Macaca fascicularis: one gene and its partner. The protein of the gene in region 2 binds, or shares a complex with, the protein of the main gene of each other region. Links are inferred from orthologs where the notes say so. Each region holds a gene or a part of one and is shown on either strand. Other genes may lie near its edges.

Evidence for each region. Proteins that work in one complex are often made in the same cells at the same time.
Region 1: the proteins of PTPN6 (region 2) and KLRC1 are in contact, whole or in part, in an NMR structure (PDB 2YU7), measured with the Homo sapiens proteins. The link is inferred for Macaca fascicularis from reciprocal best matches to the Homo sapiens genes PTPN6 and KLRC1. Residues at the interface, in NP_002822.2 of Homo sapiens: Gly117, Gly118, Glu121, Arg136, Ser138, Leu139, Ser140, Val146, Thr165, His166, Ile167, Lys168, Val178, Gly179, Gly180, Leu181, Glu182, Ile199, Glu200, Glu201, Ala202; in NP_002250.2 of Homo sapiens: Ile38, Thr39, Tyr40, Ala41, Glu42, Leu43, Asn44, Leu45, Gln46, Lys47.

The regions. Positions count from the first base shown.
Region 1 is NC_088385.1:10,467,315-10,471,061, reverse strand, and holds the start of KLRC1 (NKG2-A/NKG2-B type II integral membrane protein), read right to left. Parts: upstream 2,663-3,747; 5' UTR 2,290-2,662; intron 1,323-2,289; exon of another isoform or gene 1,217-1,322; 5' UTR 1,145-1,216; intron 1-1,144. UniProt on the Homo sapiens protein: Immune inhibitory receptor involved in self-nonself discrimination.
Region 2 is NC_088385.1:7,882,462-7,886,208, forward strand, and holds the start of PTPN6 (tyrosine-protein phosphatase non-receptor type 6), read left to right. Parts: upstream 1-1,560; 5' UTR 1,561-1,723; coding exon 1,724-1,737; intron 1,738-2,702; exon of another isoform or gene 2,703-2,851; intron 2,852-3,387; exon of another isoform or gene 3,388-3,575; intron 3,576-3,747. Other genes in the region: C11H12orf57 (protein C10), read left to right, coding at 771-922. UniProt on the Homo sapiens protein: Tyrosine phosphatase enzyme that plays important roles in controlling immune signaling pathways and fundamental physiological processes such as hematopoiesis.

The sequences.
Region 1 (3,747 bases), about 2.6 Mb from region 2:
ACAAATGTGAATATTTGTACATGTCAGGAAATGCTATATGACACTGTTAACTTATGAATAACCTAAATAGTATTAGGAACACCACATAAATTGTTAATACTTATAGAAGTATTGGTAATTTAATAAGTAATTGGTAATTTATTTCCTGGCTAAATTATGAACCAAAAAATGATAAATAAAAGTATAGGTAATTCATGTTAAAGCACATTTCATTTAAACTTATAGAAAGATTTTACAGTTGTCAAGGTGAGTAAAGGCCACTTTTGTTGTGTAAGTACTTGTAAAATTTCAGATAATGTAATTAAATCATTTAGTCAATGGGCTCTGGAGTGAGTGAGATCTAGAATGAATTCTAGCTTTGACACTTACAATGTGTGACCTTTAAAAAGTTATTCTATGTTTAATAACCCAGTTTGTTAATCTAAGACGGGAATAAGAACATATAAAACGTTGCATGTAAAACATTTACCACTCAACCTGGCACTTAAAGTTCTCAATAAGCATTAGCTATTTTAATTATTATTTTAGTCACAATTGTTATGTTACTGTTTCTGATTCGTGTCAGTTAAAGAATGGAAAATGAATCTTCAGATAAGTCTCCTATATCCGTGTGCTACATCTTTTTTTGCAATATTTTGATAAACTTTAAAAAAGTATTTTGATTGTTTTGTATTACCTTTAGCATTTTATGTACTCTACCTCATTGTGATTTTTATTAAAAATAAAAACTGCTTTTATTTAATCTACATGTCTGAGGAACTGTATTTGGCTTTCATCAATTGATTCATTTATTTTAATAATCTTTAATGGCTAAGCTAAATATAAATTATTATTCAAAGATACATGATGTACTGATTACAAAATACAAAATTAATTGTTCATTATTGTGATGTTAATAGGTTTCACTTAAATTATATTGATCAACAAACCCACTAGGTTTCCACAAACAAGAATTTGAAAACTTTAAGAAATCCTTCAACATATTTCATATGGTTTTTACCCTGAGTTATTCAAATGAAGACAGCAATGTTCTACTTTGATTTTACTGTATATTAATTATACCTCCTTTGTACCATATTGAGCACTTGTAATCACCCACTAAATGAGGTAGGCTAGTAGAGAGTTGGAGAGTAGCAACACATACCTTCTGTCCCCAGAAAGTCACACATCCTTTAGTGGAGAGGCCAGGTTAGTCTCACAAAAAGGCCTGCTATAGCTGGGAAATAAAAGGTGAAATTTAAAGGCATAAATCCAGGACAAGAACAAACAATGCCTACAATCTTCGCAGACTGCCCTGTGAAGGCTCAGAGTGAGTCAAGAGTGGAAAAAGTAGATTTCTCATCAACGTGTTACTAAGGTTTGAACAGGAAATTCTACACATGGGCTATTGTGAAATCAGTTTAATCTCATCACACACCTCCAAAATATAGGATACTCTGGTCTGTTAAAAGTACAAGGTTGACTTTGAAAGTGGGTCATTTAGTTGGTCCATTTTTCAAGCACCTATGAGAATTTTTTTTTCTGTTTTGATCACAAACATTGCCAACCCCCACCTTGTTAAGAGTGCCTTTTAGACTAGATTGCTAAATCTTAACATTGCATACTTCTTTTCTTTATATTATTTTATTATGTCACTTCCATTATAATAGAAAACATTCTAAAACTCATAGTAACATTATCAACTGATAGCTACTGATTTTTTCCTTAATTATTCTGAAAAATTACTGCAGTAATTACTCAGTTGACTGTAGCTGACACAAAAACCATCATTGCCAAAGTTATGTTATTAACTTAGTTCTTAAATTTTTGCATTTAATTTTTAAAAAATAGATTATTTAATCTTCAGATTACCATTGATGAAAATAAATGTATCTTGGAAGGGTAAAATATTAATCAATTTTGAAATATATTAGCATACCAGAGATTGAAATATTAAATAGCTATTCATCATATTCTTCATTTATCCATTCTCCACCATAACAAATTATCTCAACTTCGAAAGAAATATTTAGTTGTAAATGACAAAAACTGAAGGCAGGCTCTGTATCGGGAAAAAGTAATTTTAAAATCTCACTAGGAGAAAAGTCAGCAAATTGGCAGAATAGGTGGTCCCCCACACATATGCCCCAACAGCAACAATAATGTTTCAGCCATCCACAGACAAAAGTGGAGGAAACTCCCTTTGAGGGAGTTTTGGAATTCAAGTAGGAGTTTGTAAAATGCCAGTGGAACCCAAGACCTAGGAGGGTTGCTTTAGAGAATAGATTTGCATCCAAGTGGCAGACTTACCAACAGTGATTCCATCTCCAGACCTGAAAAGAGACCCATCCTCCTGTGGACTTGCCTTCAGCCGCATTAGGACTTCGTCATGCTGCCAAAACCATCTGTCCAGGGGCCCAGGAGGAGACTCAAACACTAGTGTCTCAGGAGGTAGGCATATCAACTGTAGTCTCAATGTAGACCCTGAAACAGCCCTCTAACTTGGCTTTAGCTACTCTCAGCCACAACTTTTGAGATCAGTCTTTCACCCACAGAGACTTCCTGGGAGACATATACATCTGTTCCCCTGGGGCATGCTTGCTGACCTCTGTCCTCTAGAAGATACTAAAATGGCCCTGAATCTCCACTCAAACTCCTCTCAACTGTGGCCTGAGTTAATCACAGGAAATTGCTGTGAGACTCACTCATCTTTGGCAGCAGTACAGGCTTGCTGACTTCAGTTCCATGGTAGTTTCTGAAACAGCCTTGAATCATGACCCTCATCCTTCTCAGCTGTGGGCTGTGAGCAGTCTTGCCAGCTCAGGGATACAGAGGGAGGGCATGTGCATCCATGTCCCGACTGGGAGACCGTTGACCTAGGTTTCACAGCACATCCTGAAATGGGCCAGAAAAGGGGGTTCAACCCTCCTCAGCTATGCTAGAGAGCAGTTTGCCCACACAGGGACCTGGAGAGAGACACCATAAGTGCCCCTAAAGGTACAGACCTTAGTTTTATTTCAGATCTTGAAACAATCCTGTGATCCAGCTCCAGCCCATCTTAACTACAGTCTGAAGCAAGTTTGCCTGCCCAGATACCTGCCAGAAAACACACTCATCCATGACCCCAGAGACAGACATGAAGACACTGGTTTCAGCTATAGACTCCGAGGAAACCTTGTGACTTAGCACTAACTCCTCTCAGCCACAGGTTGAGGAACCCACTCAGAGACCCATGAGCAGCCTTCCCAGAAAACTAGATAAACTCTCCCCCAACTACACACCTAATAATAGACCCACCATCTACAGACCCTGAAGTGGACCCTCATTCCCTCCCCAGCCCTATAGAGTATGATGCTAGAGCCAGTTTGGTCCTCTGAGGGACTAAGGAGGATACAAGCCTGCTAGAAGCCCTAGTAACAGGATCATGAACCAAAGATCCCACTCTGGACCCATAAGCAACCATGTGATCCGGCTGTAACCCCATTCAACCATGACACTGAAGGCAATCTCATCAGCCCAGGACCCTAATAGGAGAAGGTCTTAACCTACCGAAACCAGTCTGTAAAGACTGAAAGAGATGTCTGCTCTTTCAAGTGCACAGACACCAGTACAAGGATAAACAAATAACAAAGCATCAGACATATATGACACCACCAAAGGAAATGAATAAAGCTTTAGCAACTGATTCAAATAAATGGAGATCTATAAGTTTCCTTTAAGATAATTCAAAACAATCATCTTTAAAAATCTCAGTGAGTTGCAAAAGAA
Region 2 (3,747 bases):
CATAGCCTGAAGGTAATTTTATATAATAGTCTGAATAATCTTGTGCATGAGACAAAGTTTTGACTGCGTTTTGACTACAGTCCCCCCACCCCCACCCCCCACCATGAAGTCAGGTGTGGAATTTTCCATTTTTGGCTTCACACTGGCACTCAAATAATTTCAGATTTTGGGTTTTCTAATTAAGGATGGTCAACCTGTACTGTGAATCACATTATTATTACATTTTGTGATGAGGGAGCAAACGCTAATGGTGCAGACTTTTAGTAGTAGCAGAGCTGGACGTCAACGCTGTTGTGCCATCTTTTAGTGAGAGGTCTGCATTACAGCAGTGGCTGCAGTCTCTCCAGGGTGTTTCAGCTAATTTCTGTTTGGGGGTTGGTGGTTAAATTTTTGGTGAGATCCTGGTGTTCCCCAAAGGTGCTGACTGATTCAGCTCTGCTGCCCCATAGCCTTCCTGCGTTCCAGCTACAGACCTGGGGTCTCGTGTTCATTCATGGGGTTCCAGTGACTAAACTGCTAAAAGGGTTCACCTGAGAGCAAGAAGCACACTGCCTTGGGATATTTTCATTCACTGCATCCCATCTAGTTGTGCCCAGTGTAGACCAAGAAGTTGATCCAAACCACATAGGACAGAGGCCTGCATGCGTCCTGTTTTGCAAACAGCTGCCCAGCCAGTGGGGAAGCAGTTCATGCTTAAACTACCACCCCCTCCAGCTGTCTTACGCAGCTGGTCCTTGGAAGAAGCTTTGACCCTCCACTCCCTCTTGCAGGTGTCCTTAAATTTGCTCGCTTGGTCAAGTCCTATGAAGCCCAGGATCCTGAGATCGCCAGCCTGTCAGGCAAGCTGAAGGCGCTGTTCCTGCCGCCCATGACCCTGCCACCCCACGGGCCTGCTGCTGGTGGCAGCGTGGCTGCCTCCTGAGAGTTGGCCCTCCCTGTGCCCCTGCCAGGGAAGAAAAGGCCTTGATGTTCCAGACGATAATAAACGTGCCTGTGACTTAGCCTTGGTGTCAGTCTTTTGCAGACTTGACAACCCCCATCTCACCTTCCCAGATTCCCTCTGCCTTTCCAGGCCCCATCCCCATGTACAGCTCCTTCCTATACTCCTGGCTGGGCCTAACCCTGCTCCAGTGAGGGCCTGAGGCTCCTCCCCTTCCCCCAGGGCAGGGTGAGAGGCTGGACTGGGCCCCTCTACGCTCTGGGTGGGTGGGCGGGCCTGCACTGGGGACACCTCCTTCTCTGAGGAATTGGGCTGTTAGGACTTTCCCTTAGGCCCTTTGGTTTCCACCTACTGAGAGCTTTCCCCCATTGGTTGCTCTTCCCTCAGCCAGGGTTACTTCCTGGTCTTTGCTCCTACCCAGCGTCCCGCTGCTCTGTCAGCTTGAGCTCCAGGTGGAGCTCCAGGTGGCTCCTCCTCTCCCGAGGGAAGGGGGCCCTGGCCCAGCGGGCAGGCCTGCTGTACTCCCGCACTGGGGCTGCAGGGAAGCTGGCCACTGTGGGCGGTCTCAGGCCAGCCCCGCCCCACCTGTCCTTTTCCCGGAGACTATTAGTCCAGGGTTTGTCCCTGCGGTGCCATTGGCCTGGCAGGCTGGATCGAGGAGGAAGTGGCTGATTTCTGAGTGGTTCTTCCTCTCCTGGCTTGGGCCGCTGTGCACAGCTGTGCTCCTGGCTCAGCCCCGCCCACTGTGGCCCTCCGCTGTGACTTCCCCATCCCTACAGAGAGATGCTGTCCTGTGGGTAAGTCCCAGGCACCACCTGGGTCCTAGTCTCCTGTTAGTTTTGGAGGGAGGGAGGGCCTTGTTGATGCTCACTCCATCATGTATGTGAGCGTGAGTGCGATCTGCTGCTGCCCTGCCATGCGCCTGCTTCCGATCCCTATAAACCTTCCCCTTCCCGCAAAGTGTGAGGACCCCCAGGCTCACTCATGCCCCTCTGCCCCATCTTTAACATTTTCCGCCTGACAAGTGTGTATCTGTTCTCTCCATTGCATTTCTACTTCCAGCCTCTGGGCTCCTGCTTCTGTCTCCTGCTTAGGACCTGTCCCCCGTGGGTAGCTCACAACACCTGAAACAGCAATCAGAGGCCACCCGCGAAGGCCCTCCCATGCCCAGCCAACTTCCCCGCTCTTCCCAACATCTGACTTTGGTCCCATCTTCCTTCCGTTTCCTTTCACTTCCCGTTCCCCTGCATCATTCATTCAACAGGTACGTGTTGAGCGTCTGTTACACACCAGGTGTTGTTTAAGATGCTGGTAATACTGGAGTGAACAAGACAGACATGGTCCCTGCTCTCACGGAGCTTACATTCCAGTGGGAGGTTACAGACTGAACAAATAACCCAATAAATTGGATCATTGCAGATTCTCAGAAGTGTTATGCAGTAAATGAAACAGCCTCGGCTGGGTGTAGTAGTTCACGCCTGTGATCCCAGCACATTGGGAGGCTGAGGCGAGACGATTGCTTGAGCCCAGGAGTTTGAGACCAGCCTGGCCATATAGTGAGACCCTGTCTCTACAAAAAATAAGAAATTAGCTGGGTATGGTGGAATGCGTCTGTGGTTCCAGCTATGAGCCTGGGAGGTCAAGGCTGCAGTGAGTAGTGATTGCACCACTGCACACCAGCCTGGGCGACAGAGCGAGACCTTGTCTCAAAGAAAAAAAAAGAAAATGAACCAGCTTCATGTGCTAGCAAGTGACTGGGTGTGCAGGTGACATTACTAGCTGGAGGGATCGGGGAGGCCTTCCCGAGGAGGTGACATTTGAGCTGAGACCTGCTTGAGGAGGAAGAGGAGCCAGCCATGTGATGTGGTGATCAAGGCCTGGGCAGAGGAGCATCCCTGGGCAGAGGAGATGGTGAGCACAAAGCCCTAATGTGGGAACAAACAAAAAAAGGACCGTGTGTCCGTGGCAGAGGGCCCTCGTGGAGCAGAGGCAGGGCCACGGCAGGTTAGACCTTGTTGGATCTGGGATGTTGAAAGTGAAAACCTGGCCAGATGAGGTGGTGCATGCCTGTGATCCCAGCACTTTGGGAGGCCGAGATGGGAGGATCGCTTGAGCTCAGGAGTTTAAAACAAGCCTGGGCAACATAGAGAGATTCCATCTCTATTAAAAAAAAAAAAAATACTGGGTGTGATGGCCCAAGCATGTAGTAGTCCCAGCAGTTTGGGAGACTGAGGTGGGAGGATCACTTGAGCCTAGGAGTTCAAGACCACGCCGGGCAACATACAGAGAGACCCCATCTCAACTATGACGACTACTACTACTAAATAGCTGGACATAGTGGCACGCACCTGTGGTCTCAGTTACTTGGGAGGCTGAGGCAGGAGGATCACCTGAGCCAAGGAGGTTGAGACTGCAGTGAGTTGTGATTGTGACACTGCACTTTTCAGCCCGGGTGACAAAGCAAGATTCTGTGTCAAAAAAAGAGAGAGAGAGAGAGAGGAAGGAAGGAAGGAAGAAAGGAAGGAGAGGAAGAAAGAAAGAAAAAGAGAAAGAAGGAAGAAAAGGAAAGCGAGAAAGAGGAAAGAAGAAAAAAAAGAAAAAGAAAAAGTGACAACTGGCCAAAAGAAAGAAGAAAGAAAAAGTGACAACTGGCTGGGCGCGGTGGCTCACGCCTGTAATCTCAGCACTTTGGGAGGAGTTCGAGACCAGCCTGGCCGACATAGTGAAACCCTGTCTCAACTAAAGATACAAAAAAAGAAAAGAAAAGAAAAGAAAAAAAATTAGGCGGGCACAGTAGGGCGCACCTG